Arabidopsis thaliana: one gene and its partner. The protein of the gene in region 1 interacts with the protein of each later gene in a pairwise test. Each region holds a gene or a part of one and is shown on either strand. Other genes may lie near its edges. The genes, in order: TOPP5 and AT3G15800.

Region 1 (5,022 bases):
GTTTCATATTAGAAAATTCTAAGTTCGGAAATGCTATACATGAAAATTCTTGGTGATTTCTAATGAGCAAAATAACATGAAAATTCTTGGTGATCCATTATATATATTTATGCGCCGAGAAACCATTCAGAGAAACAATAAGGAAGATAGTAAAACCTCATCTTTCTAATCGATAACTTCCATATCCTTCGATTAAAAGCTTTTGATCAATGCATAGTCCAAACTTTATACTCACATATACTCACATACCCATAATTTAGAATTTAGATCTCATTTAAATTGATAAGCTATTTTTGTAGTTATAAAATACATAAACCCATCCAAAATATTATCATTAAGACAAAATATTAGAATAGGTATATTAAAATAGAATAATGAGAGATAACATTTTTAAGAAATAAACAATAAAGAATCAATGCATAGTAAAAATGAATTTGTTATCTTGTAAATACAATATAATTTTATCGCCTGTTTTGAGCCTTCTTGCTTCTATATTATTCCACCCTGAGCACATAAAATATTTATCATGGTCTATTTTTATTGTTACCCAGTAACTCTTGTTATTCTCTAAAACTTCCACTTGAAGACCACTTGGAGGCATTACAAAATTTTCTATAGTGCGTAGTATCTTCTCTATCTGCAATTTTGGTTAATATAACCTACCCATGTGGGAAAGATCGGTGTTTGTAAGAACTTTCTCTAACATTTTATTTTGATCCATATCAAGCCAAATCACTATTTTACTAAACTCTTAACAAATTTAGAAATTTTAAAAAATGTTTGTAGAAAATAAAATGTTTGAAGACTGGAGCTCTACACATATGTTTATATATAGTTCTCGGCCAAACCAATGTGCTTTGTCTTCAAACCCTTTAACAAAAAAAAAATTGTGCTTTGTCTTCAACTTTTAAAAAAAAAATGAAAAAATTAATTTGTCCAAAAAAAAACTCTAAATGTAGTCAATTATATGGATATATATTCTAATTTTTGTAATATTAAATGAAAATATTTTCTAATATGTTATGTTTCTAAATTTTTACACTTGTTACCAACTTGAAGATTAAACTAATTATAGTTTTTTTCTAACATCAAATTAATTATTAAGCAAAAAATTTCTTATAACAATCTTACTTTTTTAGTCATTTTTATTTTAAATTTCTTCCAAAATTTAATAAAAATCGATTACATTCTTTAGAAAAATAAATTCAGTTAATACTATCAAATTGTATTATTTCAAAAACACTTAAAAATTGCACACTTGGCAGCTTATAGTTTTCGATTGATGTACTTTTTACAATAACTCTTTTTTAAAAAAAGTTTATAACATCAACAAGAAATTTAGTAATTAATGTTTAATGAGATTTTCTTTTATAGATTTTTTTCATTAAACTTTACAAGTCGACCATGGCATTGTCCCTATGGGATCCACTAATATTATAAAGAAAATCTATACAAATTAACCATGAATTCTATATAAACCTTTTTTTGTGAATATATTTATGAAGTTTGTGAATATTTAATATTTTTTTGTTTGACCTAATAATAACAGCAGAAATCGACGTCGATACGAAAATATATATATATATATATATATATATATATATATATATATATGAAAAAAATGAAAATGTGTCATTTATCTAAAACGAAAAAAAAGAAAAGAAGAGAAGCTTTTTTAGTTCTCTCTGCCCAATGGAGAAAAGAAGAACCAGAGATTGCCAAATCATCTTCTGCAAAAGCACCCATCAAAGAAATTACTTGTAAATAGAAAACAAATCATCAAATCTGGAAGACAAATCATTAAAAAAGGCGACAACTTTTTTTGGTTCAGATTTTGAAAATTTGATTTTTTATTTTTCTTATCTTGGCGATCGAATCCTATCCGAAAGATTGAAACTTGGGAGGTGGGTAAGTGAGTGAATGGCGCAACAAGGGCAGGGAAGCATGGACCCTGCTGTTCTCGACGACATCATTCGTCGTTTACTTGATTACCGAAACCCTAAAGCTGGGACCAAACAAGCTATGCTCAACGATTCTGAGATCCGACAGCTTTGCTTTGTCTCTAGAGAGATATTTCTTCAACAGCCTTGTCTTCTTGAGCTCGCTGCCCCTGTTAAGATCTGCGGTATTTTACTTCTCTCTCGATTTATCAGTTTTTTTCCTGTTTGGGATCTGAGATTCTTCAATTTTCATGATTGTGTAATGAAAAAAGTTTGCATTTTTCTGTGAGGAGATGAGCTTAGATCATTAAATTGGACCTCATGAGGTTGAATAATGTTAAGCTAAAGGAGCAATGTATCTTTTTACCAATTGATGTCACTTAATAATAGATGTCTTTGTTGGGCTTACCCTGTTCATGGAGTCTTGGAATTTGCGTAAGAGAATCTAGTTTAGTCATTAGAATGCTAATGGTAATAGAGCTTGTATGGTCACGTGATAGGAAGCAAGTTCTTCTTGATCTTTTCTTATGAAAATGCATTGGTTTCTCTGCTTGTATTCAAACACCATTAATTATGGTTCTTATGGGTTCATAGGTTGATGTGTAACATTTGTCTTTAGGCGATTGATAGTCTTGAAATCTTAGAGACTCGGTTTCTGGTTAATACCTAGGTTGATGTTGTAGCTTTTTGTCTTTGTATTGTTGCAGGTGATATTCATGGTCAATACTCAGATTTATTGAGGCTTTTCGAGTATGGAGGTTTCCCTCCTGCAGCAAACTACTTATTCTTAGGAGATTACGTTGACCGCGGAAAGCAGAGTTTGGAGACTATTTGTCTTCTGCTTGCTTACAAGATCAAATACCCTGAAAACTTTTTTCTCTTAAGAGGAAACCATGAGTGTGCATCTATTAACAGAATTTACGGATTCTATGACGAATGTAAACGAAGATTCAACGTGAAGCTCTGGAAAGTGTTTACCGATACTTTTAACTGTCTCCCTGTGGCTGCTGTCATAGATGAAAAGATACTTTGTATGCATGGTGGACTATCTCCTGAGTTGATCAATGTGGAACAAATTAAGAACATAGAGCGTCCAACTGATGTTCCAGACGCTGGTTTGCTCTGTGACCTTCTTTGGTCTGATCCTAGTAAAGATGTCAAAGGCTGGGGGATGAATGATCGTGGTGTCTCCTACACTTTTGGTGCTGACAAAGTTGCTGAGTTTTTAATAAAGAATGATATGGATTTAGTCTGTCGTGCCCACCAGGTTAGTACATTGTATAAATGTTTCCTCTAGTTTTTTTGTTTGGGAAATCGAATCTGCTGCTCAAGAACCTATAATGCTCCCACAGGTTGTAGAGGATGGGTATGAGTTCTTTGCTGATAGACAGCTTGTGACTATGTTTTCTGCTCCAAACTACTGTGGTGAATTTGACAATGCGGGTGCATTGATGAGTGTCGACGAAAGTTTAATGTGCTCTTTCCAAATTCTTAAGCCTGTGGATCGGAGGTCGCGGTTCTTTTGAAGAGAAAGAGGTACAGATTTGAGTGTTTCTCAAAAACCGTTGAACTTCCTCTTTGTTTCAGAATCTCAGCTAGCTATATCAGTTTCATCTGCAATATTATAGTTAAAGTTCATGCATCTCATAATAAGTCCATAACTAGCTTTCATCGAATCTCATGTTTCTTAAATTTTCGATTCTGATAGTTGCTCATTCGACTTACAGCGAGTCAAAGAGCTTTTAAAAGTTTGTTTCGCAGTTTCCATGTTTCATCTTTTTTGAGCTTTGAAAGCGTTGTTGCTCGTCTGAGCTCTTACAAGTTCACAAATTTGCTTTTGCAGTCCTTCTTAAGTTATAACCCTGATTCAAATCTTATGGGAAGAATGGGAGGAGAAAAAGCGACGACGGATGTTGGTGGCGGATAATTCTGAACCTCCACGAGTAGTCTCCGAAGTTGCAAAAGCAACAATATATATATTTACATGGTTATATCATCTCTGCCACTTCTTTTGAATATGATCTTGTTTCTTCAACTCAATTTTTTGCTCTGTTTCCTTCTCTGTTCTTTCACATGTCAGAGATACAAATCCTCTAAGTGTATATAATACTTTATATGTATGTATCAGAACCTCACTGCAGGATGCTTCAGTTCATGATTCTTATTAAAACAGAGGGTTCTCTAGACACTAATTAGCAGCAGATTTGTAATTGTGGCTGTGGTTTTCTCTAATTGACTCCACAATCATCGCATGTATACGACCACTCCTTAACATATATATTTACCTAAAAAGATAATACTATATTCTAATCACCCCACGCTGGCGATGCTTTTAAAGTTCAATTCATTACATACTCTATAGTCTATGTTATCGTTATTGAAATATTCAGATCACCATGCCCTACGAAATCAACACTTTAAATTAAAATGTTAATAATCAACGTATAAAATTTATTCTGACCGTTAATAAACTGTTAATAAAGTATCATAGAGAGCCATTCTCACTTTGAAAACGTTTTACTATGAGTATATGGTGTCGAATGGTTAGGCTATACTAACCAAAACAAATGGAAAGTATACACATAGTAATGCAATTGCAAATATATATTTTAGGCTATAATAAGCAAACGTTTTCAACCCAACTTTTGCTCTGCTTTGTTCTCATTCTCTGTTATTTCACATGTCAGAGTAGATACAAATCCTCTAGTGTATATATACTCTATGTGTATGTATCAGAATACTGCTGTCACTGTAGGACGTTTTTGTTCATGGATTCTTAGTAAAACCGAGGGTTCTCTAAACACTAGTTAGTAGCAGTTGTAGCTGTATTCTTTTTTAAAGGGCTTTGTTTTATCTGTCACATTGCAAACAATGACGATGAGACAACCCTAATGGAGAACCTGCTGGAGCACATTTGGTTGAAACCCTAAATCCTGGAAGAACACTTAAACTGGAGAAGATCCAGCAGCAGATCGATGGCTTTGTCGTTTTCAATGAGGTTGCTTCTAACAACTTGTAGAAAGATATTACAATTTAATAAAGGCCAAAGATAACACCTTCGTCACGTACATAGGATCCGCAC
Region 2 (4,880 bases), about 12 Mb from region 1:
AGTAAAAAAAGGTCTAAAACCATAGTGTTAAGCAAAAGAGAAAAAGAAGAGCAGAGCAAAATCCCTAAAATTTTAAACTCTGTTTTGCTTTCCGACAATCAAACCCTAGGTTGTCTGTTGCTTCATTCGTGTAAATTGTTAAATTTTTTGTTTTTGTTTTCTTGGCATTTTGTGGTTGATCTTTCTAATTTGTTTTCAGGGGTTGCTAAAGGGAAAGGAGAGAGATGGGTGGTGAAGAGGAAGTTGTTTCTGTTGAGCTACCAGCACCTTCTTCATGGAAGAAATTGGTTTGTTTTCTTTGTTTCATACAAAGACTTAGAATTTGTTGTATATGTGTAGTGCTGCAATTACCAAATCTTTTTCTTTGAAGACTCTGAATATGGTAGCTTTTGGTGGCGAAATGTTAGTATAAGTGTAAATAACTTTATGTTGATTAGGTGATTCAAAGGTTATAGACTTAGAAAAAGCCACATTTGATTGTGTTTGATCTACTATTTCTACTTCTTTGTTCTTGACTTAATGCCTCATTTTGACTATGTTTGATTTACTTCTTACTTTTCCCGATTCTTATGGATTTTAAGCCACTTGTAAACATTGTTTAAGCTACATTAAGGTCTTCTTTAGAATTTAATCTTTCAGCGTTTTGAACCTCAAATTTTCATATTTTCAGAGGTTTACATTAACTGACTTGTTTTTGCAGTTTTACCCCAACAAAGTGGGTTCAGTGAAGAAAACAGAGGTTGTGTTTGTGGCTCCAACGGGTGAGGAGATTAGTAACAGAAAGCAGCTGGAGCAGTATCTCAAATCGCACCCTGGAAACCCCGCGATCGCAGAGTTTGATTGGACGACTAGTGGGACACCTAGGAGATCTGCAAGAATCAGTGAGAAGACTAAGGCTACGCCGTCACCAGATAAAGAGCCACCCAAGAAGCGAGGTAGAACCAAATCTCCAGTGTCAAAGAAAGATGCAGAAGGTGAGAAATCAGAGGGAGGAGGAGAGGAAAACTCTCATGTGAAAGATACTGAAATGAATCCTCCAGAGGGAATCGCCGAGAATGAAAATGTGACCGATAAGAATGGCTCCGGTGAAACTGAGAGGGTGAATGATGCAAAAGAAAACATTGTTGCTGAGGAAACTCCAAATGCGGCTCCAGTTCAAGAAGAGGGTGAGTCGATGAAGGAGAAAGCTCTGGATTCTGTTGATGATAAGAGTAAGGAGACTGACAAAGAAAAAGATACTGGCTCAATCGAAAAGAACTCGGTAGATGTAGAGAAGAAGACCGTTGAAGCTAGTGATGAGAAGAAGAATTCTGAAGCTGAGACCAGAAACCATGAAGAAAATGGTCTGACCACAGAAGCTGAGGGGAAAGAGAAAACAGCAGAAGGAGAAGCTACCGGATAGCCCTGTTCTGCTCTGCTTCTGTTAGCTCATGAAACTGTAAGTCAGTTGTTTCTATCAATCTATTGAAGTATATGGTTTCCTTTTTGCTTCCTACTCGGAGCATTATCGCGGTGAAAGGTGTTGTTAGGCTGAGATATGTATTATGAGATATGTGCAAGTTCTGTTTGGTTGTAAGGTTATGTAGAGGATATATTATTGACTCTTCTCTAAAACCATTGCAATCACTAGGTTTGATGTTTTATCTTTCTGCTACAATCTTTAGTCATTTTCGTATGGATGGACAATCAAGTTATGAACAAGTCAGATTAAAGATCCACACATAGATTAATCTTCTAGATTTCTTTTTATCATTGGTTCAATCTTCATTTGAACGCCATAAAATGGGAAACCCAAATAAAAAAATGGAAGAAAGCAGAAGAAGACAAGAGGAAAAAGGTAAAAGTTTTGCTTTGAGAGTAAAGTAAGAATCTAATGCAAAGAAAGACTTACAATGTTAGTTTTCTTATTTCCTTGATTCCATCCTTTTGCATGGTCCCAGGGACGAGGGTTTAGAATCTTTCTATTAAGGAACAACTTCATAGTATAAACTCTTATTGTTCCCATTTTAGGATTAAAAAAAAAACTTGCTCTGTTTTCAAAAACATCATTCGAGACAGTATCTCAAATGGGTTATTGTGTTCCTCTTCGAAAGTCTCCAACTTCACATATGGTTTTCTCTTCTTTCTTCCTTTCGTTTCTCTTAGTCTTCTCTATACTCTCTTCACAAACGGCCGTAGCATTCATCGGAACATATGGTGTAAACTACGGTCGCATAGCGGATAATCTTCCGTCTCCTGACGCGGTAGCAACTCTCCTTAAATCAGCAAAGATTAGAAACACCCGTATCTACGATGCTGACCACTCTGTACTCACGGCGTTCCGCGGGACCGGGATTGAAATCATCGTTGGCTTAGGCAACGAGTTTCTCAAAGACATTAGTGTAGGAGAAGACCGAGCCATGAACTGGATTAAAGAAAACGTCGAGCCTTTCATACGAGGCGGTACTAAAATTAGCGGTATCGCGGTGGGTAACGAGATTTTAGGTGGCACCGATATCGGGCTTTGGGAAGCTCTCTTACCCGCAGCCAAGAACGTTTACTCCGCTCTTCGCCGTCTCGGTCTTCACAATGTCGTCGAGGTACATTACCTTAATCTTGCATACCAAACATGTCGCTAAAACCATGACATCTCGAATTTGCTTATTTTGTTTGGAAAAAGTTTTTTTAAAAGATTGCACGTTTAACCAACGTTAAATCTCATAAATACATTATTTTTTTCCGAGTAAAGTTGAGAATTTTCTTACAGACAAAATGATCAATCATTTTTTTGTAACCCAAAATGATTCAGTTTAAATATATAAATCTATTAACCTAGTAACAGAAGTTTGTATTAATGATATGACCATGTCGATCATAATCCAGCTAAGATACGTTAGTAGGCATGCATCAATTTGGATTTCTCTTTGAATTTTTTTCTTTTTAAATCATCTCTAATATTTTTAGGACATCAAACTTAGAACTTAAATGATGATTTAGCCTAAAACATTCAATATTTGTTTATAGGTGTCGAGTCCACATTCAGAGGCAGTGTTTGCGAACTCGTATCCACCGTCTTCGTGTACGTTCAGGGACGATGTGGCGCCGTTTATGAAGCCGTTGTTAGCGTTTTTTTGGCAAATTCAGTCGCCGTTCTACATTAACGCCTACCCTTTTCTTGCATATAAATCCGACCCGATTACAATTGACATCAATTACGCCCTTTTCGAGCACAACAAAGGCATCTTGGACCCTAAAACCAAGCTTCATTACGATAACATGTTCGACGCCATGGTCGATGCTTCTTATGCTGCTCTCGAAAAAGCTGGCTACACAAAAGTCCCGGTACGTCCGATCCTTATTACTATCAACCCTTTTTTTGTTTGGTTTCCATTAACATTTTCCCTTTGTTACAAGCTTTGCAAAGTACAAACGTAAATGTCAAACTAGACTAAAGACATTTTTTTGGGGTCAAAAACATGCATTATATGAGTTTCAACTGAATAATTTGACTCGTTATATGCATTTTTATTTTTCTATCAGTAACATGCATTTTTTATCTTTTGCTATCAGTACTACATGCACTAAGCTACATGTCTTGTCGTACGCGGATTTAAAAGCGTCATGCGAACCTGATTTAATCATTTAATTGTACCTAGGTGATTGTTTCGGAGACGGGATGGGCATCAAAAGGCGATGCAGACGAGCCTGGAGCGTCGGTAAAGAACGCGAGAACATATAATCGGAATCTTAGGAAGCGGCTGCAGAAGAGGAAAGGAACACCGTACAGACCAGACATGGTGGTGAGAGCTTACGTGTTTGCTCTTTTCAACGAGAACTCGAAACCAGGTCCCACTTCCGAGAGAAACTTTGGCCTTTTTAAACCCGATGGTACTATTGCCTACGATATTGGCTTAACCGGACTCAAGTCCTCTTCTGCCACACGGTATCGTTTTAAGTCGTCTCTTGTTTCCGCTTCTGCTTTCACGTGTCTTCTTCTTCTTTTTCACCGGTTGTTCCACTTGTGAGATTTGTGATTTTTTTAATTGGTCCTTTGATTATCAAGTTAACCCGTAATTCTTGATTTGCTTGTGATTAGTCACTTTTAACTTTAAAATGTTAATATACGAGCTCCTAATTACTTTGTGTAATGTCTTCTTGAAATGATATTGTTTAGTGAGGGTAAATGTTGGATTTTTCTACATTATTCTCTAAATATTTCATCCCAAGTCAAAAACAGTTAAAGAAAAAGTTTATTACATAAGCTGCATATGTGAGTTTTTGATGGGACTCAATCACATGAAAACATCACTAGCTACATAACTATTTAAATGTTGTGTACTCACATAAATTTTGATCAAGTATTTGTTCTAACTATAAAATTATTTTATTTGTTTTGTCCATTGTCTACTTGGTATATATAGCTATCAACCATGTATTTACGTGAGCATGAAAATTTTGATTACGTTAACGAATCAAATCTAGAGAGTGCATTAGTCAAGATATATCTTCTCTCTTTATTAGATGCCTATATAGTTTTCTTATAAATCTTATTCGACCACCTTCTATTTATGTATTAATATTCCTACGCACTCTCTGATCTTGTGTCAACTAACACTAATAAAATTATTCATGAGATTCAATTTCCACTTGGCAGTAAACATGTGTACGATACACGTTACATCTCTCCTATATATTAAAAAAGTTAGTACTTCGATAGAAACATTTTGCAACTAACACAATAAATAAAAATTTATCAATCGAACTTATAATTAATTAAATCTTTAACACATCTAATCTGGTCAACTGATAGATTTTGGATCGTCATAATTTTAAAAAATTTCTAACATGTATCGATAAATTTAGAACGCACAAATAATTTTGTAACATCAAACGTATAGTCA

What was found.
Region 2: the proteins of TOPP5 (region 1) and AT3G15800 interact in a protein complementation assay, tested with the Arabidopsis thaliana proteins (one large-scale study listed by BioGRID).

Annotation. Positions count from the first base shown.
Region 1 is NC_003074.8:17,240,891-17,245,912, reverse strand, and holds TOPP5 (type one serine/threonine protein phosphatase 5), read left to right. Parts: upstream 1-1,631; 5' UTR 1,632-1,920; coding exon 1,921-2,125; intron 2,126-2,647; coding exon 2,648-3,207; intron 3,208-3,292; coding exon 3,293-3,466; 3' UTR 3,467-3,476; intron 3,477-3,783; 3' UTR 3,784-4,211; downstream 4,212-5,022. UniProt on the Arabidopsis thaliana protein: Serine/threonine-protein phosphatase that possesses phosphatase activity toward para-nitrophenyl phosphate (pNPP) in vitro.
Region 2 is NC_003074.8:5,342,985-5,347,864, forward strand, and holds AT3G15800 (Glycosyl hydrolase superfamily protein), read left to right. Parts: upstream 1-2,004; 5' UTR 2,005-2,066; coding exon 2,067-2,579; intron 2,580-3,003; coding exon 3,004-3,321; intron 3,322-3,635; coding exon 3,636-4,004; 3' UTR 4,005-4,163; downstream 4,164-4,880. Other genes in the region: MBD11 (methyl-CPG-binding domain 11), read left to right, coding at 225-287, 701-1,402.